7 linked regions of the Canis lupus familiaris genome follow. The protein of the gene in region 1 interacts with the protein of each later gene in a biochemical or structural test. Links are inferred from orthologs where the notes say so. Each region holds a gene or a part of one and is shown in the gene's direction. Other genes may lie near its edges.

Region 1 (4,240 bases):
AAATAAAATAAAAAAATAAAATAAATAAAATAAAATAAAATAAAATAAAATAAAATAAAATAAAATAAAAAGAGAAGCTGAGTTGCCCAGGCCGCGTTGGCCACATGAGCTCCAGGGTCCTCCCGCCGCCCCTCCCCGCGTGCTGTTCCTCGTGCTGCCACTAGATGGCGGGCCGCGCGCCCCGGAGGCGCCGCACCGCGAATGCCCGGCTCACTCAGCACCGCGACGCCACGCCCTGCAAATTATTAGGGACTTTTCGGTAGCAATCACATTGCTGCTTTTTGAATACTGGAATTAGGACCAAAATATTGAGGACAGGATTGCAAAACCGCACCCACCCTTTTGCAAAGGGCGTTCCGTGGCCGGCGAGCTAAAGGCGCAGCCTCTTGGGAGCAAAGCGAAGCTGCCCCGTGGTGCCCTTGCCAAGGGGCCACTGCTCAGAGTGTCCTTGAGGTCGTGCGGGGGCCCTGCGTCTGCCTGGCGTTTGTGAAATGGCAGTGAGGGTGGTGGCGAGTCTCTGACTTGCGCTAAAGTCCCAGGAGCCTTCCAGTCGCAGCGCAGGAGAGGTCTAGCCTAGGCTGCGGGTCCTGCCGGGCTGTGGAACCATCTGCTTCTTACTGGGCCGGCTTGTCTTCCTGTGGTTGGCACGCGGAGCCAGGTCTGATGCCTGCTGCACGTCCCTGCGTCTCTGTGATGCCGTCGGATAATGGTCTCCGTCGGGTGATGAACATACATATCGGGTCGAGACATAATAAATGGCCAACATTCCAGCATGTTTTATCTACTCCCCGCAGAATTTAAAATGATTCACCCAACAGTGACATCTTTCTATATTCAGCCCCAATTAAATTCTTGTGACGGAAGGGGCACCGTTTGCCAAACTCTAAAGCTAGAAAATACCTATTTCTATCCTGCCCTGCACAGAGGTGTAGGTCAGAGTACAGTCACTGCGAGGCCCTGCCTAACCCATACAAGTCCGAGGTTAGCCCTTGGGTTTTGCTCCGGAGCCCGGGGACGGTGGACGACGCTGCGTTGAGCAGAGAACCGACCAATCTTGCGGCTGCGCCCGCCCCGACAGGAGAAGGCAGGGCCCCCAGACCCGGCGGGGTCCGCGCGCTGCGAGGGCTCACGGGCCTCCGGGGCGCGGCGTCGGGGCACCTCCGCGTTCCGGCTGGGGAAACTGAGGCGCCCGCGTGCAGCTCGCCGGCAGCGCCGCGCCAGCCCCCCCTCGCCCGCGCTCGCTCCCCGCCAGCCCGCGGGCCGCAGGATTGAGGAAGTGCGTCTGGGCCCGGCCCGGCCCCCGCGCGCGCGGCCGGAGGCGCAGGGGGCGGAGGGCAGGGGACGGCCAGGCCTCGGTCCGCGCGCCCAGCCCCGCGTCCCCGGCGCCCCGGCCCCGGCCCCGGCCCCGGCCCACGCCCCGCCGCCCCGGCCCGCCCCCGCCGCCGCCGCCGCCGCAGGTAAGCGCCCGTCCGCCCGCGCCGCGCCGCGCCCCGCCCCGCCCGGGACCCCCGCAGCCCCCTCGGCGCCCGGACGGCCGCGTGCTCCGCCCAGGTGGCCCGGGGAGGGGGGCACCGAGGGCGCGGGGGACCCCAGGCCCCGGCCCCGGCCCCGGCCCCGGCCCCGCGGAGTGGGGGAGGCGGCGGGCCCCGGAGGGCCACCCCGAAACCCCGCGCGGGCCGCGGCCGGGAGAAGGCGCGAGAAGCACCAGTGAGGCCGAGCCGCGGCCGGGCGACCACGGTCTCCTCCGCCCCTGGAGAAGGCTCCTTGCTTCGGGCCGGCGCGGGCCGGGTGTGAGCCGGGTGTGAGCCGGGTGTGAGCGCGAGCGCGCAGCGTGCGGGCGAGTGTGCGTGCGTGTGTGCCGGGGAGCAGCGCCCGCACCTCCCGCCGGGCTGGGGCTGGGGCTGGGGCTGGGGCTGGGGCTGGGGCTGGGGCTGGCCGGGCTCCTGCGCTCCCGCCGCTGCGGGGGAATCCGCCGTCTCCGCCACCCTCCTCCGCAGACACGCGACAGGTCCGCGAAGGGGCCAAGAGGGGAGCCCGGTTAGGTGGGGGGCCGGGGGAGGTGGCGAGGGAGAGCGTGGGGACCTCTGGCCCGCTCAACCTGCCCCTGCCCGTTTGGAGGCCTGGAAGCTTTCTCCCGGAACACATCAGCAGGGGTCGGAGAGGCAGAGAAAACAGCAGCCTGTGGCGAAGGCTTCAGCAAGGCTCTCAGTGAATACACTCTTTCTAGAGGGTGCCGGCCCCTCAACTTGGTAACAAAGTACCCAGACATTAAAGGGACAACTAGAAGAGGTGCCATTTGGGACGACATTAACATGAAATGCTTTTTGTGATTTGACTCTAATTATCTTTGCTTCCGTCCCTGAAGAATTAAAAAAAAAAAATTAAAAACAAAAATCTCACATCTGATTTGTCCCTAAAGGAGGTTTTGGGGTCAGGGAATGAGCCCATAGTCAGCTCACTTGTTCGCCTTTCCTCTATCCCATACCCTCATCCCTTGAATTCTGTGAACCATCAGCAAGTTCTGTTGGGCTTACCTATGTGTCTGGCTGAGTCCAACCTTTCTTTCTCATTGTCTCCACCTTAGTCCAAGGTACCAGCATTTGTTTCCTGCGTGATTACAATCCTCCCCTCTCCAATTCTTTATGTGACAGCCAGAGAGTCTGTGCGTGTGTTTTTTTTTAATAGGTAAATCAGAATGTGTCAATCCTCTGCTTAGAACCCTGCCATAATTTCTCCTTGTGATTGGCATGAAACCCAGGACACCTCCTTCCCCTCAGTTGATATGGAGTCTGGCATCATCAACCACCTGGCCATTGCTCATGCCACCCTCTACCCCACCCCACCCCACCAGCCACCATGGTCCAGCTGGCTCTTCAGCATATGGCCTCTACATGCTGACCCCTGACTCCTCATACTGCCAGCCACCCCCTGTAAGCCCAGCCTCTTTCTCACATCCGCCCCCCCCCCACCCTTGCTGTCTTTTGCAGTCTCCACTGGTATTATGGTCCCTCTTCATCTATTTGCTCTCTTCTTTAATTGCCTGGCACTCTCCTGGAGCTCCAGGGGTCAGAGACCATTCCTAGGCACCAGCATGGCTCACTGCTGCGTCTTCACGCCCAGAACTGTCTGAGAGGTGCCCAGTACACCCTGGCATACAGATTGAATGGCGAATGGACAGTCTTAACTTGTTTGTGGTTTCAGACTCATGAAGGGCTTCTGTTCCCAGACCTTTGGGTGTTCATCTAGGACTGAGATCTACACATTTCTCTGGTCCGCAGCCCCTTGATATTTTGAAGTCCATGAATCCATTACACACATTCTGTAGGCAAGCCGGTATGTGGTCAGAGGAGGCTAGTAGTGCCAAAGGATTGTCAAGGACTATGGGCCAACCATCTCTACCATGCTTTCACTAAAAAGAATTACTGGATTATCTGAGCTGACGTGCTCATTTGCAAGTGTCTTCTAGCTCTTTGGTACTGACAATCCTTTCCAAGCCTCCTGAAAAGACAAGTAAGCAGGTCCAGGGTCTCCTCTATTTCTCCTCAGTCAGAAATTTTGTGGCAAGCACTTACTTAACTGTGCCTTCCCACCAGCTTTAAGTTTCATGAACACATGGAGTTCACTCCTCATAGAAAGGGCCCAATAAAAACATTTGCGGGATGAATGTCAGCTTCCCCTTTTCTCTTTTTGATTAAGCATTCAGTTTTATTCATTACTGCACGTATAAGGAGCAATGAAAAATTGGTGAGGTTTTAAAAAGTATTAAAATTATTACAGAAAACCTCTTGAAGTCCTCTTAAGGCTGTATGCACCACAATGAAAGGAAGACATGTAACTTACAACCATGATTTGTTGCATTGGTCTGAGCCCAAAAGAAGCAGGAAGAAGCAAAGATCCGTTTGAGGGCAAAGATTGAGCAAAAGTTGAGTTACCTCATTTTAAACCTTCTACCTTAGAGTCTAAGCCAACATACAAATTACAGTTGAAAAACTGTGCCAGTGGTAAAATCCTCCATCGGTAAAGAGATTTTCAAAAGGAAACTGAAAATGAAAAGGGGAACAAAATGTGCTGGCCGAGGGTTGGCCTAAAATATTTTAAAGATTTAAAAAAAAAAAAAAAACTTAAAAGCACTCTATGGTAAGACACTTCTGTTTTCAGAAGGCAAGTCTACTAGCATTTGGATTTTTTGAGGTGGTACTGGGTAGATGTGGTAGCTGATTTTAAGACGTTTGAAAGCAGA
Region 2 (3,500 bases), on another chromosome or scaffold:
CTCCCAGCTTGCTGACTTGGGTGGCTGATTGTGATCAGTAACTGACGTAGGAATAAGATCATGTAGTAAAAAGAATGATGAAGTCAGGTTTATAAATTGAAGTAGCTTTGCTACATAAAAAATGGAGTTGTCCAGATGTCAGTTGAATACACGTAGATGTTCAAAAAGAAAGGGCTACAAGGTTGATTGAGATTTGGGAATTGGCAGCATATGTTAAAGCCTGGAATGAGAAGAGAAGGAGGACCAAAGAATGAATCTTTACAAAATATTGACATTAGTGATGAGCCAAGGAAAAGAAAAGCATGTGAAAAATAGTGAAGCTTGATTGGAAGAACCCAGGAGAGAGTGCTGTTATAAATATGAAAGAGAAGAGAGGTTTTTTTAATGTGTGAATTATAGAACATATTTGGTGGAATATTATGAATACTATATGGTCAATTAAGAATAATGTTTTTAAGAAAAAAACGTTTTTAAGGATATTAAATGTGAGAAGAAACTCAGAATATTAAAATTAATTAATATGCTGGTTAAAGTAAAACCAGAATAACTATAGTAAAATTCCAGTTTTATAAAGATAAAATCTGTATGTATTTATACATATAGGTGGAAGAGAATAACCTTCGACTTTTTGGGGTGTCAGGTGGTTCAGTTGTAAATCATTTAAAAGTTTTCTACAGTGAACATATGTTTTTATGAAAGAAAAAATATTTACATGGATTCAGTCAAGATAATTTCCAGTGGAAATGTTAATTGCAAGGTTTATTCAAAAGGGTCCATTTGAATTGTGAACTAAGAAGTCAGTGGTAACCTTAAACATTTTCAGTCTTAGTGGGATCAGAAACCAGATTGTGGTTAGAAAGTAAATAGGAAAAAAAAAAAACAAATAGGAAGAGGTCATGAATATAAAAAGTATGCTTTCAACACACTGATAAAAAGACATTAAGGTGCCTGGGTGGCTCAGGTCAGAGTCCCAGGCCTGGGGTGGAGTCCTTCATTGGGCTCCCTGCTCAGCAGGGAATCTGCTTTTCCCTCTGCCCTTCCCACCTGCTTGTGATCTCTTTCTCATGTTCTCTCTTCCTCTCTCAAATAATTTTTAAAAAAAAATCTTAAAAAGCATTAGCTAGAGAATTAGACACAGGATTTTTTAAAGAAAAGAATCTTACAGCATAGTTGTGTGCTGAAGGAAGAGAAGATGGGTAGTTTGACAATATGATACTTTTTTAAAGCATATTAATAATTTCTAATGACAGGGTAGCCCCGGTGCGCAGCGGTTTAGCGCTGCCTGCAGCCCAGGATGTGATCCTGGAGACCCGGGATCAAGTCCCACATCAGGCTTCCTGCATGGAGCTTGCTTCTCCCTCTGCCTGTGTTTCTCTTTCTCTCTCTCTGTGTCTCTCACAGAAAAAAAAAAAAAAAAAATCAAAAAAATAATTTCTAATGACAGAATTCCATGTTTATAATCAACTATGGTTAAAAATGATACACTTGTTATTGAAATTATCACTTGCAGTATAGTAATAGGACATGCTTGAATGTAGAGTTTGAGCTCAAATATTTAATATTGTTGTCTGTGTATTGCATATGTAAACAAATGTGTAGAAATGATTGGCCCTTTACAGAACAAAGCTTTTGATTTGGAATTTAGCTAACCTCAAAGCAGTTTTAGATGACTAATAAAAACATAGCTGGTCTCTGTTTTGAATAATTATGTATGGGGTTTAATTGCTTCCTTCTGTTCTCAATGTATTGGTTATATCGATATAGGAAAATTCTAGGGTCTATCTAAGTTTATCAGCTAGAAATGATCAGTATTTGCCAAACAAAATAAAGTGGCACCTGGATATTCCTAGGTAAGATGCTAATGTAGCCTTAGTCATTCTTTAAACTTAGTACATTAAATGATGAACAGGGAATCCTGCAAAACCTGGCAGCTATGTATGGAGGCAGGTCCAGCTCTTCAAGAGGAGGGAAGCCAAGAAACAAAGAGGAAGAGGTATGCTTCCCGCATGTTCGCTACCTCCGTCACATAGCCATTTTTGAGTTTATTGCCTTCCTTTCTTGCATGGTTTAAATTCTTAACAATTATTTAAGGATTTTGTAGGTCTAGAGGGACCTGTTAATATAATTTGACTGACATGCTGTGTCATAATTTTGCCCCATAACTGATATTCAGTATTCTGAGTTCAATTTCTTTTCTTTTGATAAAATTAAAAATTTATAATGTATTTCTTTTCAGAAATAAGTTGTTCTAAATTAAACACTTGAAAGCTAATATCACACTTTCCATTAACCAGATTTTGAAACTTTTATTTCTTGTATTCAGATTAACACTTTTCTTTAATTTAAAAATTAAGCAGTAAAAATGCTGATAATTTTTTTCTTTAAATTAAAATGTGTGTTTTTTTCTCTCCTTGTAGGTTTATCTGGCAAGACTGAGGCAAATAAGACTGCAGAATTTCAATGAACGCCAACAGATTAAAGCCAAACTTCGTGGTGAAAAGGCAGGTTGAAAAGTAATTTTTAAAAATATTTATTTATTGATTGATGAGAGACAGAGAGAGGCAGAGACATAGGCAGAGGGAGAAGCAGGCTCCCCATGGGGAGCCCAATGTGGGACTCGATTCCAGATCCTTGGATCACATCCTGAGCTGAGGGCAGACACTCAATTGCTGAGCCACCCAGGCATCCCGGAAAATAATTTTTAAAAAAGTAATTGAATGACATTATAATAGATTAAGATTAAAATTGCTGTGCTACTGGGGCACCTGAGTGGCTTCAAAAGCATCTGCCTTTAGCTCAGGTCATGATCTGGTGGTCCTGGGATAGAGCCCCACATCAGACTCCCCGCTCAGTAAGGAGTTTGTTTCTCCCTCTCCTTCTGCCCCTCCCCTCACTTGTACACTCACACACTCTCTCTCCCTCAAATAAATAAAACCTTTTTTTAAAAAAATAAAATAATACTATGCCACTAACAGAATCTGATGGAGTCAAAGTCAAAAATCAGAAAACTATACTTAGAAATAAAATAAATTTTATACATGGGATTTTAAATTGATAAGAGCATTTTTCCAGAGGAATTCTGAGAGAAAACTATAAGTAGTACACATAGCCATTTTGTATCCTTTTATTTTTGTTTTTTTTTTTCCCATTTATAGTCCATAAGAATTGGTAGTTGTGGATAGTTCACTTCTCACTGTGAGAGAAAATTAGCAGTGTTGAACAATTTACCATTTTATATTTTTAAGTGTAAGTTTATTCATATTATCTTCCACAGAGCTCTGCCCTGATTCACAGCTCTGTCCTAAGTGGTTTGTCTCCTTACTTTGTAGAAAGAAGCTGATTATTCTGAGGGACAAGAAGGAAGTGAGGAGGCTGACGTGCGGCGTAAAAAAGTTGAAACATTTAAGGTATAGACTAGAAAGATACAGGTTTTCTTTGAGAAAATGACAACCTAGGGTAGAAAATTGTGTCTTGCATAATTATTCTCTTGCCTAATTTTT
Region 3 (4,155 bases), on another chromosome or scaffold:
AGTATCTTCCTGCCCTAAGACTGAGACACTGGACGGGTTTCTAAGTTGTAGGAATAGAAGTCACAGTTGTGGCCACTGTCACAGGAACTAGGCCAGAGGTGGGGGCGGGGAGGGGGGGTTGACCAGCTGCCCCGCCAACTTCTTGTCCAAACTATAAACTAAACAGAGGGCAGCCCGGGGTGGCTCAGCCGTTAAGCACCTGCCTTCAGCCCGGGGCGTGACCTGGAGACCTGGGATCGATCCCGCGTCGGGCTCCCTGCATGGAGCCTGCTTCTCCCTCTGCCTGTGTCTCTGCCTCTCCCTCTGGGTCTCATGAATAAATGAATACAATCTTAAAAAAAAAAAATAAAAATAAACTATAAACTGAACAGAACTTCAAAACTACATTTATAAAAAGCATGCTAACAGCAAAAGACTAACATAGACGAAAACTTACAGGCAGGCACATTTTGGAAGTCCTGCTTTTTTACCCCAGGCTTTCCAGCCTCCACCCTTAGCCTGTTGGCAAATTCCGTGTTTGTGTGCGTAGGCTTCGTTTAAATATTTCGTCTGCAGCCCCACGCTTCCACGTGACAGCTGGCACTCCGTGGACGAAACACCCTTCCCCTAAGAAGTGCAATTCCTAAAAACGGTCCTTCTTCGTTGCTACAGGTACCCCCGCTAACCTTCCACCCGCGCCTCGCACCTATGCGCGCAGTTCTCCAAACCAGAGCTACGCCCCGGCGGCCCTGCAAGACACGAGGCTCGGGGGCGCGGTCGCTGGCGGAAGAGCGCCCGGAGCCACGGCGCGGGCCGAGACCCCGCGTGCGCGCCAAGCGCTGCAGCCCAAGGCCCCCGCTCGGGAAGTCCCCGGCGCGGCGGCCCCAGCACAGCCGCGGGCTCCGAGGCCCCCCCCCCCCCCCCCCCGCGGCCCGGGAGCTGGGCGGACGCCGCGGCCGGCCTCGACGGGGCGCGGAGCCCGGCGCGCCGCCTGCAGGACCCCCAGCTTACCCGGCTCGCCGCCGCCTCCCTGCGCTCCGCGCCGCGCTCGGGGCCGAGCGGACAGCCGGGGCGAGCAAAGGCGCGGCACAGCGGCGGCAGAAGCGCCCTCCTCGAGGCCCGGAAGCCCACCATGCCCAGCGTCCCCCGGCTGCCGCGACGCACGGCAGAGCCGCGCCGGCGCGAGGGGCTGCCTTACGGCACGGTCGCAAAGCCAGCGGGAGCGAGCGGCGCGGCCGACCGTGCGCTTTCCCCGCGGCTCCGCGGCCAGCTCCGGGCTGCCGTGCCGGGCGGTGGTGGCGGCGCGCGCCGCAGGACGTTTTCCCAGGGCGGGGGCTGTTCGGCCCGGGGCGGGGCCGCGGGGCGGGCGACGGCGACCGCGGCGGAGTCCTGCGCGTCGGCGGCGGGGCGCGCGATGGCGCGGGCGGCACAGGTGAGCGCAGCTAGGCGGCTGGCGGGCCGCGGGCCTCCCCGTGCGCGCCCCCCGCCCCCCGCCCCCCGCGCCCGCGCCCGCTCCCGCCGGGCCTGGGCCTCGGCCTCCGCGCCGCTCCCCGCCCGCGTCCGACGCGGCCCGGCTCCCCGGGGGGCTCGGAGGCCCTGCGAGCGCGGCCGCCCCCTCCCGCGCGGGCCATTGTGAGGTCAGGGCCGGCGGGCGCGTCGGGGGCCCGGGCGACACGCCCGGAGCGGCGGCTGCGGCCAGTAGCTGCCGCGCCACCGCCGGCCCCCTCACCGGCCGCCCGGGCACACCCAGCCGGCAGGGGTGAGAGGGATGCAGCTGGGGCCCCGCTCCGGTGCCGCACCCCGTAAAGGGCTGACCTGCCACCTCGCCAGCTCCCCGCGGGCAGCCAGGACCAGACCAGCGTAGACCTCCTCTGGGTAAAGTGCTGGCAGGGGAGGGCGAGGGGGGGAGGCCGGGGCCCCGCCGGCCGCCCGCCCTCCCTCCCCCGAGAGCGGGCCGACGGGCCTAGGGAGGCACCAGCCCTCCGGAGGCCAAGCTGGTGCCTTTAACACGGTGCCGGTCACCTTCCCTTCCTGGGGGATCTTCGCCTCCGCGCGGAGGGTCTTCGACGTCCTCGGAGGGGCGGGGGAAACAGGGTGGCCGGGGAGGAGCCCCGAGCGGCGGGGAGGAAGTAGAAGCGGGGCCTGGGGGTCGCTGGGATCCGCTGCTGTTTGTTTCACTTAGACTTCCGGGTTTTGTTCTGTTTTTTCTATTTTTTTTTTTTTTTTAAGATTTTATTCATCTATTCATGAGAGATACAGAGAGAGGGAGGGAGAAGCAGGCTCCACGCAGGGAGCCCGATGCGGGACTGGACCCCGGGTCTCCAGGGTCACGCCCTGGGCCGAGGCAGATGCTAAACTGCTGAGCCCCCGGGTGCCCTCCAGTTTGTTTTGAAAGCAGGCATAGCTCTCGGGCCAGGTGGGTGCTGGGATGGCACTGTTAGCGTTTGAAGGTCAAAAGAGCAACTGTTGCACGTTCCACAGGGGTGCCCTGCTGTTGCCAACAACCAGGGTCCAGCGTTAATACCTGAGATCCTTGTGCTGTTTCCACCCCAGTAGTTGACCTCGTGCCACACGTGTAGAGACCCAGGCGAAGAAGTTGGGAAATCAGGCCCAGGGCTCCAGCTCGTTCTGCACTGCAGTAACCCCTGTCCATTCCTTTTTTTTTTTTAATTTCTATTTATTTATGATAGTCCCACAGAGAGAGAGAGAGAGAGAGGCAGAGACACAGGCAGAGGGAGAAGCAGGCTCCATTCACCGGGAGCCCGACGTGGGATTTGATCCCGGGTCTCCAGGATCGCGCCCTGGGCCAAAGGCAGGCGCCAAACCGCTGCGCCACCCAGGGATCCCACCCCTGTCCATTCCTAATCACAGGGGTGTGTAGGTGATCTTCAAGAAAGTGGATTACTCTTTCCATACTTGAGTATGACTGCTGTTTAGATCACACTAAGGATGGGCCTTAGTGTGATCTAAACTCAAATGCATCTTTTTTTAAAATTTATTTTATTTAATATTTATTTATTCGTGAGAGACACAGAGAGAGAGGGGGGCAGAGACACAGGCAGAGGGAGAAGCAGGCTCCATTCAGGAAGCCCAATGTGGGACTCAATCCCAGGACTCGAGGATCACACCCCGGGCTGTAGGCAGCACTAAACTGCTGCACCTTTGGGGCTGCCCGTTTTTGTTTTGTTTTAAGATTTTATTTATTCACAAGAGACACCAGAGAGAGGCAGAGACACAGGCAGAGGGAGAAGCAGGCTCCATGGAGGGAGCCCAATGTGGGACTCGATCCCAGGACCCTGGGATCACCCCCTGAGCTGAAGGCGGTGCTAAACCACTCAGTCACCCGGGCGTCCCTCAAATACCTCTTCTTAAAATGAGAATTTCGGAATGAATCAATATTTGCTTACCTGTCTGTAGAGTCTTTGTGTAATTTGGCATTCTTGTCATTTTTTAGTGCTTGTAAAACGGAACACAACAAAAGTATGGATATGGGCAACCAACATCCTTCTATTAGTAGGCTTCAGGAAATCCAAAAGGAAGTAAAAAGTATAGAACAGCAAGTAATTGGCTTCAGTGGTCTGTCAGATGACAAGAATTACAAGAAACTGGAGAGGATTCTAACAAAACAACTCTTTGAAATAGACTCTGTGGATACTGAAGGAAAAGGAGATATTCAGCAAGCGAGGAAGAGGGCAGCCCAGGAGACGGAGCGTCTTCTCAAAGAGCTGGAGCAGAATGCAAACCACCCACACCGGATCGAAATACAGAACATCTTTAAAGAAGCCCAGGCCCTGGTGAAAGAGAAGATTGTGCCGTTTTATAGTGGGGGCAACTGTGTAACTGACGAATTTGAAGAAGGCATCCAGGATATCATTCTGAGGCTGACACATGTCAAAACCGGGGGGAAGATTTCTCTGCGGAAAGCACGGTACCACACCTTAACCAAAATCTGTGCGGTGCAGGAGATCATCGAAGACTGTGTGAAAAAGCAGCCTTCTCTGCCACTTTCCGAGGACGCGCACCCTTCAGTGGCCAAGATCAACTCGGTGATGTGTGAGGTGAACAAGGCCAGAGGCACTCTGATCGCACTTCTGATGGGGGTGAACAATAATGAGACTTGCAGGCACTTATCTTGTGTGCTGTCGGGGCTGATTGCAGATCTGGATGCTCTAGACG
Region 4 (4,195 bases), on another chromosome or scaffold:
AGATGGGGGTAATTGCTATGTTGGAAAACCTAGCAGTTTTGCAGGATTTCCTACCCACCATCTCAGCCTACGACCTCTCCACAGTTTTCTTGAGTCACTATTTTTTAACAACGCCCATTTATTAAAAAAACACACACACTGAAATTTACATAACACAAATCATTTTAAAGTGAACGGCTCTGTGGTCTCTCCCCATTCCCCCCTACTCCTAACCCCTGGTAACCACCCATGTGTGTCCATTTCTCTGTGGATTTACCTATTATGGATATTTCATAGGGAATCATACCATATGTGTGACCTTTTGTGGCTGGCTTTCACTTAGCAAAATGGCTTGGAGGTTCTTGAGTCTTTTTAAAACTGTTCTATTTTGTTAAACTGTTCTCTGTTATTTAATGGGAATCCCTGGTTACCCAGCCTGTCTGATGAAACTTTAGTACATAATTGACAATATTAACAGTAATATGCCAACAGCAGTGTTGTCTTAGGGACAGTGTCTTAGTGTTGGGTGCTGACTGGCTGTTGGTTCTTCCAGAATTGGCCTTAAGTGCAAAGTTAGACAACTACACTTGACATTTCATCAAGAAAAAAAACCCCAGAATATTCCAAACTAACTTCCTTATTAGCAAGATGCTACCATACATTCGATGCCTTTAGGAAAAAAGCAGAGAAAGATAGGAAGAAACGGGCAGTGGAGAGCCAGCTCTGGAAGCTCTCAGACCTGTGCAGGAGATATAAAAATTGTCTCAGTCTCCATGCTTAAAGCCCGGCTCAGTGATTAAAGCGGCACCTTTTGTGGGACCGTCCACCGCACTAGGTTCCCTAAAGTGTGGCTCCTGTGTGCCGCTTTAGGGACAACCAAAGCAAACCTTCCTGCATTCGGGACAGGGCACACGCTCACCTGCAGGGTGCCTGGAACACGGGTTCCGAGGGAAGCCACTGCGTGGGCATAAACAGCCGGACCGCCGGAGGAGGAGTCAAGCGTGGCCACGAAGCCGCGGTGCGGAAAGGGGACTCCCCTGCTCTCGGGACAGCGGCGGGTGCTTCAGCCTCTTCAGCCTGCGCGCCCTGGTTTACTAAGCGCCGCCAACCACACTTTCCTAGTGGGCCCTCCTCCGTGCGCTGTGAACGTCCACGGACTAGTCCCAGCCGCCACGCAGCAGGGACCTGGCAGCCGGCTCCCCGCCCTCCTCAAGGGCGCCACTGACTCGGGAGCAGGAGGCCTCTGTCGCGGCCGGGACTCCGCGGAGCAGCCTTCACCGAAACAGGGATCTCCAGCTGGCCCCGCCCCCGGCCCCGCCCCTTGGCGCCCATTGGCTGATTCAATTGACGCCGCGGCTTCTGCGGCCCCGCGTGCTTCACTGGCGGCGGCGGCGGCCGTGAGAGCGCAGACGCGTCCCGCTCCGCTGTTGGCGATGAGCGGCCCAGCCGTGCCCCAGGAGCTGCGGCTGCCCCCGAGCCAGAGCCCTCAGCCCGCGTTCAGAGGTGAGGGCCGCGGGGGCCGGGGCGGCGCAGCCCGCGGGCGCCTGGTTTCCCGGAGGGGCCGGGGCCGGGGCGGGGGACGAGGGCCACCGTGGGCGAGAGAGGGGCGCGGACTCAGCAGCCGGGGCCTCGAGTCCGCCGACCAGCGTCAGCCCTGACCAGACGCGCGAGAGCCCCTGGCAGCTCACCCGGTCTTTCAGCTGCATCCTCCGTTTTTGCGCATTGGACCGCGGAGAGGGGCCCGGGCCGTGGTGGTTGTGTGCGGGCTGAGCGCCTCCCGTGCGGTCGTCCCTGGCCGGGCGTGCCCCTCGGGTGGCGGGGACGGGCCCGCTGAGGGACGGTGCGCGGCCCTCACCTCTCCGGCGGCCCGGGCGTCGGCGTCGGCGTCGGGCCCTCGGGACCCCTGCGAGTGGGCGGGGCCGCGCCGGGCTGGAGGCGACTGCGCTTGCGCAGGGCGCTCCCGCCTCCTGAGTGGAGAGCCGGTTTTTGGGGAGAGGTGGGGTTGCCTCTTCTGAATCTGCTTTATGGATTCTGGGTTTGGCTGGGTTTTCAGAAATCATATTGTTCTTTGCCCTGCACATGGGAACACAGAGGAAAGACTCTCACCCAACCCAGTTCTGGTCGATTAGAACTTGGAGTCCAGTGTCTCAGTTCTGCTCCTCAGTTTCCTAAAGCTTGGCTTTCGGTAACCATATGTTGAAAATATGTTCTCCGTGTTTTTCACTTTCAGACAAAAGAGAATGTGATTCTCGTGAAGTGGTTGTGGGAAGCTTTTATGGTAATGATCTCTTAAAAAATGGGATTATTTCTCAAAGCCAGTACTCATTGAGATATTTCCTGTTTGTAAGGTGTGATCTCTAGTAGGTCACTTTTCAAAATGAGATGTTCATTTAGTGAATATTTATTTGATAATGTTATAACAAATGTTGACTTGTTGCTTTTTTGTCACTTAGAACAAAAACAAAAACTCAAGGAACGGATGTTACAAAGAAAAACGTTTTTTGCATATAAACAGGAAAATCATATATCCAGGTGAGGTCAAATTTTCTCATTTCAGATCTATAAAATTAGATCAGAGCTGTCTAATAAAAATGTCGTGGGAACCACAGTTGTAACGTAATTTAAAATTTTCAGGGTAAAAAAAAAAAAAAATTTTTTTCAGGGTGCCTGGGATGCTCAGGTAAGCATCCCACTCTTGATTTCGGCTCAGGTCATAGTCTCAGCATCCTGAGATCAATCCCCCACTTCAGGCTCTCCCCTCTGTGGGGAGCTTGCTTGTCTCCCTCTCCCTCTGCCCTTCACCCTGCCTGTTCTTTCTTTCTCTTAAGTAAATCTTTAAAAAATTTTCTAGTAGCCATATTTGAAAAGTCTATTTATTTAACAGAATATGTTATTTAAGAGAGAGCTGGGGGTGGGGGTGGGCAGAGGGAGAGGGACTCCTCGCTGAGCATGGAGCCTGAGGTGGGGCTCAATTCCAGGACCTTGAGATAATGACCTGAGTTTATCTAAGCCACCCAGGTGCCCTCTGGAAAGTCTTTTTAAAAGATGAATTGTGATAACATTTAATCCAGTATATCCCGTGTTATAGTTTAACATGTAATTCTTGAAAGTTATTGAGATATTTTACTATTTTTTTTGTGTGTGTGGTGCTGAGTTTTCAAAATCAGTGTCTGTATTTTACACTTTCATACGTCAATTTGGACTAGCCACATTTCAAGTGTTCAGTAGCCATACCTTCTTGGATAGCACAGCATTTCCTGTGTAAATTAATTCAGATTCTCAGATGAAACAATTTTAAAGCAAAGTGTTTGTATATATTAAATCATTGACTTATGGTCTATGCAGCGCTACAAAGGTCAGTCTTAATTTAGCAAGGTTTATACTCAGTATGTTTCGGGGGCTGGGACATGGATGGTTATTCTTTGGGAGGTGGCTCCCCCAAAATGTTTAGAGATTATTTGTTTTAGTCTCAACCCTGGATAGGAATATCTAGGTGTTACTGTGGTAAAATTTTAAAAGTAGTACATAGTTGTGGCAAAAGAAAACTCCGTGGAGGTATATAAAGCAGAAGATCAAAAGGCCCCCTCCAGAGATAACTGTTAGTAACAACCTTTAGGCCCTTTCTGTGCATTCTAAGGGCACTGGCTTTAGAATGATAAGGTCTGAACTCTGTAAGTCTGCTACTATAGCTGTGTAACCTCAGGGGAGTTACATGGCCTCTTAGAGTCCACTTAACTTCTATTAAAAATGGATAATTGTGTTTCTTGGAGATTAAATGAGATACAGAATGCATTGTGCTATGCCTGGTATATGGAGAGAACCCCAGTAAGTGGTAGCTGTTATTTACTGATCTCACAGTGGCTTTACACACAGAGTACTGGTTCTTGAGTTACTCTATTCTGGTTTCTTTTCGTTTCTCCAAACCGTTATTGCTATGTGTTGTCTTTGTAAATACTTAATACCCTTCCTCATGGTTGAAGGTGGTCAGATGGTGCTTATATTTAGGAGGTACAGATGCCAGGACTTGGTGATGCTGGATTAGGTATGGATGGGACATCTATAGATTTGATAACTACTATGGTTATGTAAGAGAAAATCATTATTTTTTGAACAATGAAGCATTTAGGGTTTAAGGGTAATCATGTATATATCTGGAAAGATTCAGGTAGAAAAAATTGCATATACTCCACACATACACATGTTTAGAAACAATGCA
Region 5 (3,500 bases), on another chromosome or scaffold:
CTCCCTGGGTTGTGGTAAGGCTTAAAATAATAGTACAGACAAAGGTTTAGCATAGTAGAGGGACTGCTCAACAAAAGTAATCATCCTTGTCCTCGTCCTCATTAAATGGGAGCGCTCAGTTGGTGGGTAGCACTTAGGAATTCAGTCAAAGGAATGGCAGAATTGCACCTGTCTCACCAGGTGGACTCCTCACGGGTGTCCACTGTCCTTTGTTCCCCTTGGAGGCTTCAGTCTGGAGTCAGCTGCTGATCAGCCTCAGGCTCGGGTTGAATCTGGCACTTGACTTGGCTCCATTCTCTCAACCCAAGCTGTCTGGGTCCCTGCAGAATGTTTACTTAGTATTTCTCTCTCTAGTCTAACGTCTTTGTGGGTAGAAAACATTCATGGGTAACTCTCTAGCTTTCCAAGAAGCAGCAGAATCAAAGCTATTTTTTTTCCAGGTGAGTGGTTTTAGCCCAATTGTCATTAGGTTTTTTTTCTTCCCAGTCAGAAGCTACTATTTTTGGTGATTATTGACTTCATTTTATTCTTAAACATTTAGAACAGTCCAGAGGAAGAGATTGAACTAAAGAAACTGAAAGATTTGGAGAAGTCTGTGGAGAAGATAGCTGACCAACTGGAAGGATTGAACAAAGAGCTTACTGGAATCCAACAGGTCACTCTTTTTGGGGAGATACAAATGTGTGGTTAGGGCAGGCTCTCTAGTCTGGATTCCCTGGGTCCAGATCCTGGCTTTACCCTCTATCACTGTGGGCAAGTTTCCTTGTCTCAAGTTCCCTATCTATAAAAGGGGAAAATGATGGTACCTCTCCTTAGCATTGGTGTGAGGATTAAATGATGCAGTTTGAGAGGTACCTGGCTGACTCAGTTGGTAGAGCACACAACTCTTGATCTCAGGGTTGTGGGTTCAAGCCCCACATTGGGCATAGAGCTTGCTTTAAAAAAAATTTTTTTTTAATGATGTAGTTTGAGTCTGACACATACTAAGTGCTTTTATAAGTGTTATTGTGTGTATTTTTTTTTAAGATTTTATTTATTTATTCATGAGAGACGCAGAGACACAGGCAGAGGGAGAAGCAGACTCCATGCAGGGAGTCCAATGTGGGACTCGATCCCGGGTCTCCAGGATCACGCCCTGGGCTGAAGGCAGCGCTAAACCGCTGAGCCACCCAGGCAGCCCTTATAAGTGTGATTGTCATTGCTATTTTCAAACCACAGCCTGCATCCATTTGTGCTCTTAGGAGAGTACCTGCCATGCCAGGGGTCTTGTATTGTCTGTAATGGAACAGGTAGCTTCTCCTAGTCCCAGCTGTTACTTGTTTAGCAAGACAGAGAACATTGTTGATCTAGAAAAGGCCCAAGTTGAGCTTGATCTTAGCTGAGGCAGGGGTCATTCTGTTCAATTCCTTGTATAAGAGAAGGGATACTAAAATTAGGCCCAAACCACATATTTCTTTTTGTTCCCTCTAATTTTATAATGTTAATAGATGTATGTTTCTGTTTTAGTTACAAAAGTAATACATGCCCATCGTATAACTTTAAGTAAACATATGAGCACTAATACCTATAAAGCCCTGACTCAGAAGATAACCAATACTAAAGACTAGAATATATTTTTGCATTTAAAAAAATTGATATAGGGCAGCCCGGGTGGCTCAGCGGTTTAGCGCCGCCTCCAGCCCAGGGTGTGATCCTGGAGACCAGGATCGAGTCCCACGTCAGGCTTCCTGCGTGGAGCCTGTTTCTCCTTCTGCCTGTGTCTCTGCTTCTCTCTCTCTCTCTGTGTCTCTCATGAATAAATAAATAAAATCTTTAAAAAAATTTAAAAAATAAAAAATAAAAAAATTGATATAGTATTATGGACACTCTGTAAATTGTTCTTTTATTTGATTAAAAGAATTAAACATTACAAAAAAAAAAAAGAATTAAACATTTTCTTATGTCATTAAAAATGTTCATACTTGGGACAGCCCAGGTGGCTCAGCGGTTTAGTGCCACCTTCAGCCCAGGGCCTGATCCTGGGGATCTGGGATCGAGTCCCACATAGGGCTCCCTGCATGGAGCCTGCTTCTCCCTCTGCCTGTATCTCTGCCTTTCTCTCTCTCTCTCTCTCTCTCTCATGAACAAATAAATAAAATCTTAAAAAAAAAAATGTTCATAGTTGGGGCACCTGGGTGGCTCAGTTGGTTAAGCATCTGCCTTTAGCTCAGATTATGATCCCAGAGTCCTGGGATCATCAAGCCCTGCATTGACTTTGTGCTCAGCAGGGAGTCTACTTCTCTCTGTCCCTCCTCCTGTCATGCTCGCCTGCTCTCTCTCTTTTAAATAAATAAAATCTTAAATGATCATACTTATCAAACCTTGCATAGCATTGTAACATATATGAATATATCATGATATCAATATATATACCTAACAATTCTTTATTGTTCATCACCTAATGTTATTTTACCATTATGCATTAATGCTTTTCTGAACATCCTTGAATATAAATATTTTTTTACCATTTCCGATTATTTTTTGGGCGTAGAATAAATTCTTTGACTTGGAATTGCTGGCTAACGTTTAAAGCTTTCATTGCAGGGATCCCAGGGTGGCTCAGCAGTTTAGCGCCTGCCTTCGGCCCAGGGTGTGATCCTGGAGTCCTGGGATCGACTCCCACATCAGGCTCCCTGCATGGAGCCTGCTTCTCCCTCTGCCTCTCTCTCTCTCTGTATCTCTCCTGAATAAATAAATAAAACTTTTTTTTTTTTTTAATTTTTATTTTTTTATGATAGTCACAGAGAGAGAGAGAGAGGAGAGAGAGGCAGAGACACAGGCAGAGGGAGAAGCAGGCTCCATGCACCGGGAGCCTGATGTGGGATTCGATCCCGGGTCTCCAGGATCGTGCCCTGGGCCAAAGGCAGGCGCTAAACCGCTGCGCCACCCAGGGATCCCTAAATAAATAAAACTTAAAAAAAAAAAAAAAAAAAAGCTTTTATTGCATGTGGTCAAATCTACATCTGATAAAATCTGCAGAGATCCTGGCTGTCTACCCATTGTCACCAGCTAACTGGTCACTAGGCCAAGCAATGTGACTACATAGCAAGATAATTTAATAAAAACAATGTAAATGTGGCTTTTTTTTTTAAGATTTTATTTATTTGAGAAAGAGAAGTGTGCGTGTACACAAGCACACAAGCAGGGGCAGGGGGCAGAGGGAGAAAGAGAATCCCCAGTGAGCAGGGAGCCTGATACAGGGCTCCATCCCAGGACTCTGAGATCATGACCTGAGCTGAAGGCAGACACCTAAGTGACTGAGCCACCCAGGCACCCCAATGTTGCTGTTTGTTAACACATGTCTGTGTCAGGAATTATGTTAAGAGTCTATATATATTTCTCTTTATCCTCCTAGTATCATAATCTGGTGTGGGTATCATAATCTCCATTTTAAAAATGAGGATATTGGGCAGCCCCAATGGCTCAGCGGTTTAGTGCTCCCTTCAGCCTGGGGTGTGATC
Region 6 (2,290 bases), on another chromosome or scaffold:
AAATAAGCTTACATAGTGGAACTCCTCAATTTCTGGTCCTACATCATTTCTTTTACTTCTCGCCCTAATATTGAGTAGGTCAACCTGACAGTTGTTGGGGTAACTGGATGAGCACTGAATAGGGAATCTGAGGGCCTGAGTACAAATTCTAACTTCCACTAACTTTGGCTGTCATTTTGGAAAATCAACTAATTAGCTTGGCTTCCATTTCCTTATTTGTGAAATGAGGTAGCTGACTAGACAAGTAGTTCTCAACTCTGGCTGTACATTATAATCATCTGGGGGCAATTAGGAGAAAAATAGAATGCTTAGGACTGGCCCAACTAAATAAAAAATCTTGAAAGTGACTCCTGGGCATTGGCATTTTTTTTTAATTTTTATTTTTTTTGGCATTGGCATTTTTAAAAGCTCCTTAGATAGATCTAAGGGCAGCCAATTGAAGAATCACTTGCATAAATCCAAGGGTCCTTTCTGTGCTGACATTCTGCGGTTGATAAACATTATCTAATGTGATCAAGTACCTGTAATACTTGGACAAGTGATTGCTTCTCCTTCAGGTAGCTTTAGAAAGTGACACATAGCAATCAGATGTATGATGCCTCATTTTGAGAAAAAATATCCAATTTTAGGCCATAATATAGAGAATTCCATTTAAAATAAAATGTGAAAATTGCATAATTACTTAATTAAGAGAAAATGAAATTTCCTTTTAGTTATGAAAATTTACTCAATAAAATAAAAGTTAGTCTACAACTCTTTATTTAAAATTATTATCCAGGGTGCTGGGGTGGCTCAGTTGGTTAAGTGTCTGCCTTCAGTGCAGGTCATGATCCCAGGGTCCTGGGATCGAGTTCCACATCAGGCTCCCTGCTCAGGGGGAGTCTGTTCCTGCCTCTCCCTCTGCCCTGCCCCTTGCTTGTGCTCTCTCTTCTCTTGCTCACTCTGTCTCTCAAATAAATAAATAAATTCTTAAAAAAATAAAGTTATCATATAGAAAACTTCTTAAAATAAGAGAATTTTCCCAATTATTTCATTTGTTAAACAACAATTTCCATTTATTGTATTTTGGAAGATTTATTTCCACTTTCAATTTAATTATAAAATACTACCGAGAATAAAAATGTCCCCATACTCCTCAGAGAAGATGTATTACTCTTATAGCTTTCTTATGGAGAACCACCTGGACTGGTTTAAACATACCGAATTGATCAGTGAATATTTGCTTCCATGAACTCACCTCTGAAAGTCATCTCAACGACAGTCTCATGCTTGAAATTAAGCTGTTTGGCAGTGAACTTATTTCTAAAGAACACAGGTCAACCCTTTTCTACCTCCATAACCAACACAATACAAAACTTCTGTAAAAACAGAAGTCTGGTTTTGTCTAGTGAGACTGTTATTGGACAGCATAACTCTCCCTTAGTAAGCAAATAAATATACTCTGTGCTTTTGTTTGAGATATTGAGTGGTGATCTTATCCTTGGCATAACCAATTTTTGAAAATTTATATTTACTGTATTGTTAACTAAGTAGAAGCTTCAGTGCTATATATGCCCTGAAATACACATTTTTCAGAGTAGAGAGATGTGAGAATTTATTTGAAACGTTCAATATTAGGATCCTGGACAGGTACATTCTCATTTTCCCTGAGGGTTCTCTTTCATCTGAGTGTTGTTATGGATGATGGTACTGGGTAAATTGAAAGGGCTTTTCTATCCTGATATACTGAGAATAAAGACTTCCTATATAATGTGTGTAAACTTCATGTATTGTTTTTTTCTTTAGTGTGAAATATGCAAACGGCCTTTGGAAAACCTGCAAGCAGGTGACAGTATTTGGATTTACAGACAGACAATACACTGTGAACCTTGCTACTCTAAAGTTATGGGTAAGTGTTACACGCTTTAAACAATCATCACTTTTACTAATAATATTAATGAGCACTTAATATTGTTGAAATGAGGGATTTCAATAAAGTAAAAATATGTTATTAATTATATTTAGTTAAGATTTCAGCTGAAGGTAGTTTATACTATGATAGGATTTTATGGCATAAAAACAGTCACCATATATTATTATCTCCTGATATCAGACCAGGCATAATACAACTAAGGAAAGAGGTCATTTATTTTGGAACATTTTTTATTTTTTCCAAACAAAAATAAAGATCTTCTTTGCTCAAATAATTGTTTGAAGTCCATTTCTGTGAATGACCTTTTGTATTTGTATTGAAATATACTTTTGTACCTAATTTGGTTATTACACTAAATACTTTTTAATGTTATTTTTA
Region 7 (3,970 bases), on another chromosome or scaffold:
GTGGTCTGGACCTGGGGCCGATGGGCAGGACAATGATGTTGTGGAAGTGGCTGAGGCGGGTGCGAGTCTGGTGTACTTTGTTTTTTCGTTTTTGTTTCTTTAAAGATTTTATGTATTTATTCACAAGAGACATAGAGAGGCAGAGACACAGGCAGAGGGAGAAGCAGGCTCCCTCCAGGGAGCCCGATGTGGGACTCGATCCCAGGACCCTGGGATCACGACCTGAGCCAAAGGCAGACGCTCAACAACTGAGCCACCCAGGCACTCAAGTCTGGTGTACTTTGAAGGCCTTGCTGATGAGTCGCTTACGGGGTGAGCTGTGGGTTACAGGCCACATCTCTCCGTGGTAAGCGATGGGCTAGGCACTTGATGAAAGTGACTGTTCAATTCTAATTCTTACCCTTCACCATGAGCTGTGTCTGTTTCACATACAAGGAAAGTTCTGCCAAAGAATCTGGTCAAAGTCACTCTTTAAGTGGCAGGACCAGACTCAGGGGCCCTGAGTGTCACCAAGCTCTCTGCCTCCCAGGGAGCCCCTGGAAGGCTGGCGTGAGGAGGCCTCCTCCATACCCCCACCCCTGCTGAGCAACAGCCAGACAGGGCTGAGATACTGCGGGTGCCAACTGCAGAAGCCACTTAATTGTTCATCTTTGGTAGCCCTCATGGTTTGAGGGGTGGAGAGCAGAGTCTCATGTCACATCCTGCTCTCATACTTGGTCCCTGATCCCTTCATGTCCAGCTGAGAGAGCTCAGGTGCACCTTTCTCTCCCCTCCCCACTCCTCTTGGCCTATAGCCATGCTCAGAAACACATCCACACCTTTAATATTCAAGTCCCTTCTAAACTGTTTAGCTCCTACGCATCCCTCAAAGTCCAGCTCATGTGGCCCTTCTGAGAACCCTGACTCCTTCCCCCAGTCAAAACTCATCACTCTATTCAATCCTTTGTAGTCACTAGAACTAACTTTCCACCTGATGGCAGCTGAGCCCTCTGTGTCTGACTCCCAACCTGATGCATGTGGGGGCTCAGGAAACATTTTGAGGGGGTGAGAGGGTGAGCGATGCCTGAGGGCTCCTCCATGCCCCACAGTACTGGCTTTCCCCAGCCCAGAGGGGCCCCTGGAGTGGGTCTGGGAGCCCTCTGAGGTAACAGAGCCCTATGAATAGTGGTCACCATGGCGACTCCAATGAACAATGGAGGGGGGCTGCTCCCTGGCAACCACCCAGTGGTCTTCACCAGCAGTTCAGCAGTGTGGATCTGCACTCCTGGGCTTCAGCACACACCAGAGTGGTTCACGTGTTTTCTGATGTTATGAGAGAGAGTGGAGAGGTGAGGCAGAGACCTGTGGGGTGGACGGGGGTCTTCCAGGACCCGGGATTTCATCTCCCCTCTCTCCATTCAGGGCTGCTCGTGAGGGAAGAGTGCCCAGACGCAACGGGACCCCCTTCCCTGTCCTCCTTAACTGATGTCTCTTGGGACTTCCTCTCCAGATCAGAAGCTGGCAGTGAGTCCACACTTCTGCTCAAGCCGGTCTAGGCTGCTCTGGGCTGGGGGTGCCATTAGGGCAGATGGGACACTGCTGTGGGAACATCGGTTGGGTAACTGGAGATGGGGAACCGGGACAGGGCTGACAGCTCACTTGAAGGAGACAGAAGGTAAAGGGCTTGGTTTCAGTGCCACCTGGCTGAGGTCCTATTTCTTTTCTGAGCCTCACTTTCTCCATCTGTGAAAGAGGAGGAGTTATATTTTCTCTGAACACCTGAGTCCTTATGAAGACAGACTAACCTACTAGATGGGAGAATGTGTAACATATGAGCTATATTAGTTATCTCTTTCCATCTAACAAATTGCCCCAAAACTCAGTGGCTTAAGAACACTATTAAAAATTAATTAATTAATTAATATTTTAGAGAGAGGGAAAAGGGCAGAGGGAGAGGGAGAAAGAGAATCCCAAACAGGATTCTGTGTTCAGCGTGAAGCCTCATGTGGGGCTCAATCTCACAACCTTGAGATCATGACCTGAGCCGAAAATCAAAAGTCAGATGCTTAAGCTACTAAGCCACCCAGGTGCCCCTAAGATTTTTTTTTTAATCTCACAATCTCTTTGAGTCAGAAATACAGATGCAGCTCCAATAGGTCCCATATCTCAGGGTCTTCCATAGACTATAATCAAAGTTCAACTAGAGAAGGACCCCTTTCCAGGGCCACTCATATGGTAGGACTCAGTTCCTCATGGATTATTGATCTGAGAGCCTCAATTTCTCATGAACTGTTGGCCAGAGGCCTCCCTCAGATCTTTGCCACGTGGGCCTCTCCAGAGGGCAGCTCACAACATGGACCCTTCTTCTATCAGAGTGAGGGAGCCACAAAGAGCCTGAGAGAGTGTGAACAAGACAGAGTCACAATCTTCTATATTCAATCTTCAATAACCTTGGAAGTAGCTTCTCATCACATATTTAATTGGTTAGAAGCAAGTCAACAGGTCCAGCCCACACTCAAGGGGAAAGATTAAGCAAGGGTGTGAATTCCAAGGAACAGGATCCTTGGGAGCCATGTCAACTGCCCAACTTGGTGGCAGTTGGCCCTCTTGGCCCTGATAACATACATTGTTTCCATATGCAAAATACATTCATTTCTGCCCTACGATCTCCAAAAGGTTCATTCCATTACAGCATCAGCTCAAAATCTAGAACCTGGCTACAAATCAGGCCTGGGTGTGGATGAGGTTCCTTGAGTGTGGTTTCTTGGACTCGGTCCTATCTCCCCATCAGTAGATATTAGGAAACTGAACTATCTGTTCTGAACACACCACTATGCAATGAATGGTGTGGCTGACCTGGGATAAGGGCTATGAACATCCCTATTAAAAACTGAGGACACTGGAGACACAAAGGAGTCACTGGTCCATAGCAGTTCTGAAATCCAGCAGGGATTGTTGAACTTTTCCTGATTGGGTTTCAAGGCCTGGAAGTAATTCTCCATGGCTCTCAGCTCTGCCCCACAGGTCCTTGCTTCCACTCTCTAATTTTTTTTTTTTTTTTGAGAAATAAAAAAAGGATAGCACATGTGTATGCTGAGTAGTTTTTTTTTTAAGACTTTATTTATTTATTCATGAGAATACACAGAGAGGAGAGAGAGGGGCAGAGACACAGGCAGAGGGAGAGGGAGAAGCAGGCTTCATGCAGGGAGCCTGACATGGGACTCGATCCCAGGTCTCCAGGATCACACCCTGGGCCGAAGGCAGTGCTAAACCACTGAACCACCAGGGCTGCCCATATGCTGAGTAGTTTTGTCAGACTCTTCTGCTGGTAGATTTGAGGGTCCACTAGACTCCATTTTGTACCGTCTGTCCCTTTTGCTGCAAGCTGGTAGTACTTTTGTTAATATGGTTTTCTCCAGAACTTAAGCCTACAGGGGCTTGACAACAGCTCTGCTCCCCTCTCTGGGACTCCTGGGAAGACACAGCACCTCTAGGTTTCCTAGACGACCTATTACCCCACTGAGGGGGGCGATCTGTGAGGCGCATCCTTATCTCTTTAAAGGGTCCTTTGTGTGACTGAATAATATGCTCTGAGCTTTTTATCTTTATAAGCTTTTCACAAAAGGTGGTACAGTCACAGCTTTGGCTACCTTTTTTGGATGGTGCTCTGAAGCTATTTCTTAATTTTAGCCTCTTTTGGCACCTGGGGAGGATGAGAATTTCCAAAACTATTAAGTCCTGCCTCTTTTATGTTTAATGGTCCTTCCTTCGATGCTTTTGTCTCCTGTCACATTTCACTACAAGCAGCAGGAAGAAACCAGGAGGTGCCTTCCATGCTTTGCTTGGAAATTTCCTTTGCTAGATCCCCTGGCTCATTAGTCACATGTTCTGCTTTCCATATAACCATCAATGACAGTGTCACTAGGTTCTGTTACTACATAACTCGGACACGGCTCCCTCAAGGTTCTGAGAACATGTTCTTTGTCTGCAC

What was found.
Region 2: the proteins of LRRK1 (region 1) and NEK1 form a complex in vitro, tested with the Homo sapiens proteins (2 studies listed by BioGRID and IntAct, with this or other methods). The link is inferred for Canis lupus familiaris from reciprocal best matches to the Homo sapiens genes LRRK1 and NEK1.
Region 3: the proteins of LRRK1 (region 1) and BAG5 form a complex in vitro, tested with the Homo sapiens proteins (2 studies listed by BioGRID and IntAct, with this or other methods). The link is inferred for Canis lupus familiaris from reciprocal best matches to the Homo sapiens genes LRRK1 and BAG5.
Region 4: the proteins of LRRK1 (region 1) and CKAP2 form a complex in vitro, tested with the Homo sapiens proteins (2 studies listed by BioGRID and IntAct, with this or other methods). The link is inferred for Canis lupus familiaris from reciprocal best matches to the Homo sapiens genes LRRK1 and CKAP2.
Region 5: the proteins of LRRK1 (region 1) and BAG1 form a complex in vitro, tested with the Homo sapiens proteins (2 studies listed by BioGRID and IntAct, with this or other methods). The link is inferred for Canis lupus familiaris from reciprocal best matches to the Homo sapiens genes LRRK1 and BAG1.
Region 6: the proteins of LRRK1 (region 1) and SCEL form a complex in vitro, tested with the Homo sapiens proteins (2 studies listed by BioGRID and IntAct, with this or other methods). The link is inferred for Canis lupus familiaris from reciprocal best matches to the Homo sapiens genes LRRK1 and SCEL.
Region 7: the proteins of LRRK1 (region 1) and TEX33 form a complex in vitro, tested with the Homo sapiens proteins (2 studies listed by BioGRID and IntAct, with this or other methods). The link is inferred for Canis lupus familiaris from reciprocal best matches to the Homo sapiens genes LRRK1 and CIMIP4.

The regions. Positions count from the first base shown.
Region 1 is NC_049224.1:40,487,969-40,492,208, reverse strand, and holds the start of LRRK1 (leucine-rich repeat serine/threonine-protein kinase 1), read left to right. Parts: upstream 1-1,440; 5' UTR 1,441-1,457; intron 1,458-4,240.
Region 2 is NC_049246.1:20,498,602-20,502,101, reverse strand, and holds part of NEK1 (serine/threonine-protein kinase Nek1), read left to right. Parts: intron 1-1,909; coding exon 1,910-1,993; intron 1,994-2,417; coding exon 2,418-2,501; intron 2,502-3,329; coding exon 3,330-3,407; intron 3,408-3,500. UniProt on the Homo sapiens protein: Phosphorylates serines and threonines, but also appears to possess tyrosine kinase activity. Involved in DNA damage checkpoint control and for proper DNA damage repair.
Region 3 is NC_049229.1:71,725,860-71,730,014, reverse strand, and holds the start of BAG5 (BAG family molecular chaperone regulator 5), read left to right. Parts: upstream 1-1,355; 5' UTR 1,356-1,411; intron 1,412-1,693; exon of another isoform or gene 1,694-1,854; intron 1,855-3,433; 5' UTR 3,434-3,461; coding exon 3,462-4,155. Other genes in the region: COA8 (cytochrome c oxidase assembly factor 8), read right to left, coding at 991-1,113. UniProt on the Homo sapiens protein: Co-chaperone for HSP/HSP70 proteins. It functions as a nucleotide-exchange factor promoting the release of ADP from HSP70, thereby activating HSP70-mediated protein refolding.
Region 4 is NC_049246.1:214,192-218,386, reverse strand, and holds the start of CKAP2 (cytoskeleton-associated protein 2), read left to right. Parts: upstream 1-1,395; 5' UTR 1,396-1,412; coding exon 1,413-1,482; intron 1,483-1,990; exon of another isoform or gene 1,991-2,164; intron 2,165-2,209; coding exon 2,210-2,257; intron 2,258-2,432; coding exon 2,433-2,511; intron 2,512-3,741; exon of another isoform or gene 3,742-3,754; coding exon of another isoform or gene 3,755-3,804; intron 3,805-4,195. UniProt on the Homo sapiens protein: Possesses microtubule stabilizing properties. Involved in regulating aneuploidy, cell cycling, and cell death in a p53/TP53-dependent manner.
Region 5 is NC_049232.1:50,590,227-50,593,726, reverse strand, and holds part of BAG1 (BAG family molecular chaperone regulator 1), read left to right. Parts: intron 1-541; coding exon 542-655; intron 656-3,500. UniProt on the Homo sapiens protein: Co-chaperone for HSP70 and HSC70 chaperone proteins. Acts as a nucleotide-exchange factor (NEF) promoting the release of ADP from the HSP70 and HSC70 proteins thereby triggering client/substrate protein release.
Region 6 is NC_049243.1:31,258,091-31,260,380, forward strand, and holds part of SCEL (sciellin), read left to right. Parts: intron 1-1,785; coding exon 1,786-1,888; intron 1,889-2,290. UniProt on the Homo sapiens protein: May function in the assembly or regulation of proteins in the cornified envelope. The LIM domain may be involved in homotypic or heterotypic associations and may function to localize sciellin to the cornified envelope.
Region 7 is NC_049231.1:28,488,509-28,492,478, forward strand, and holds the start of TEX33 (testis-expressed protein 33), read left to right. Parts: upstream 1-1,170; 5' UTR 1,171-1,328; intron 1,329-1,401; 5' UTR 1,402-1,503; intron 1,504-3,970.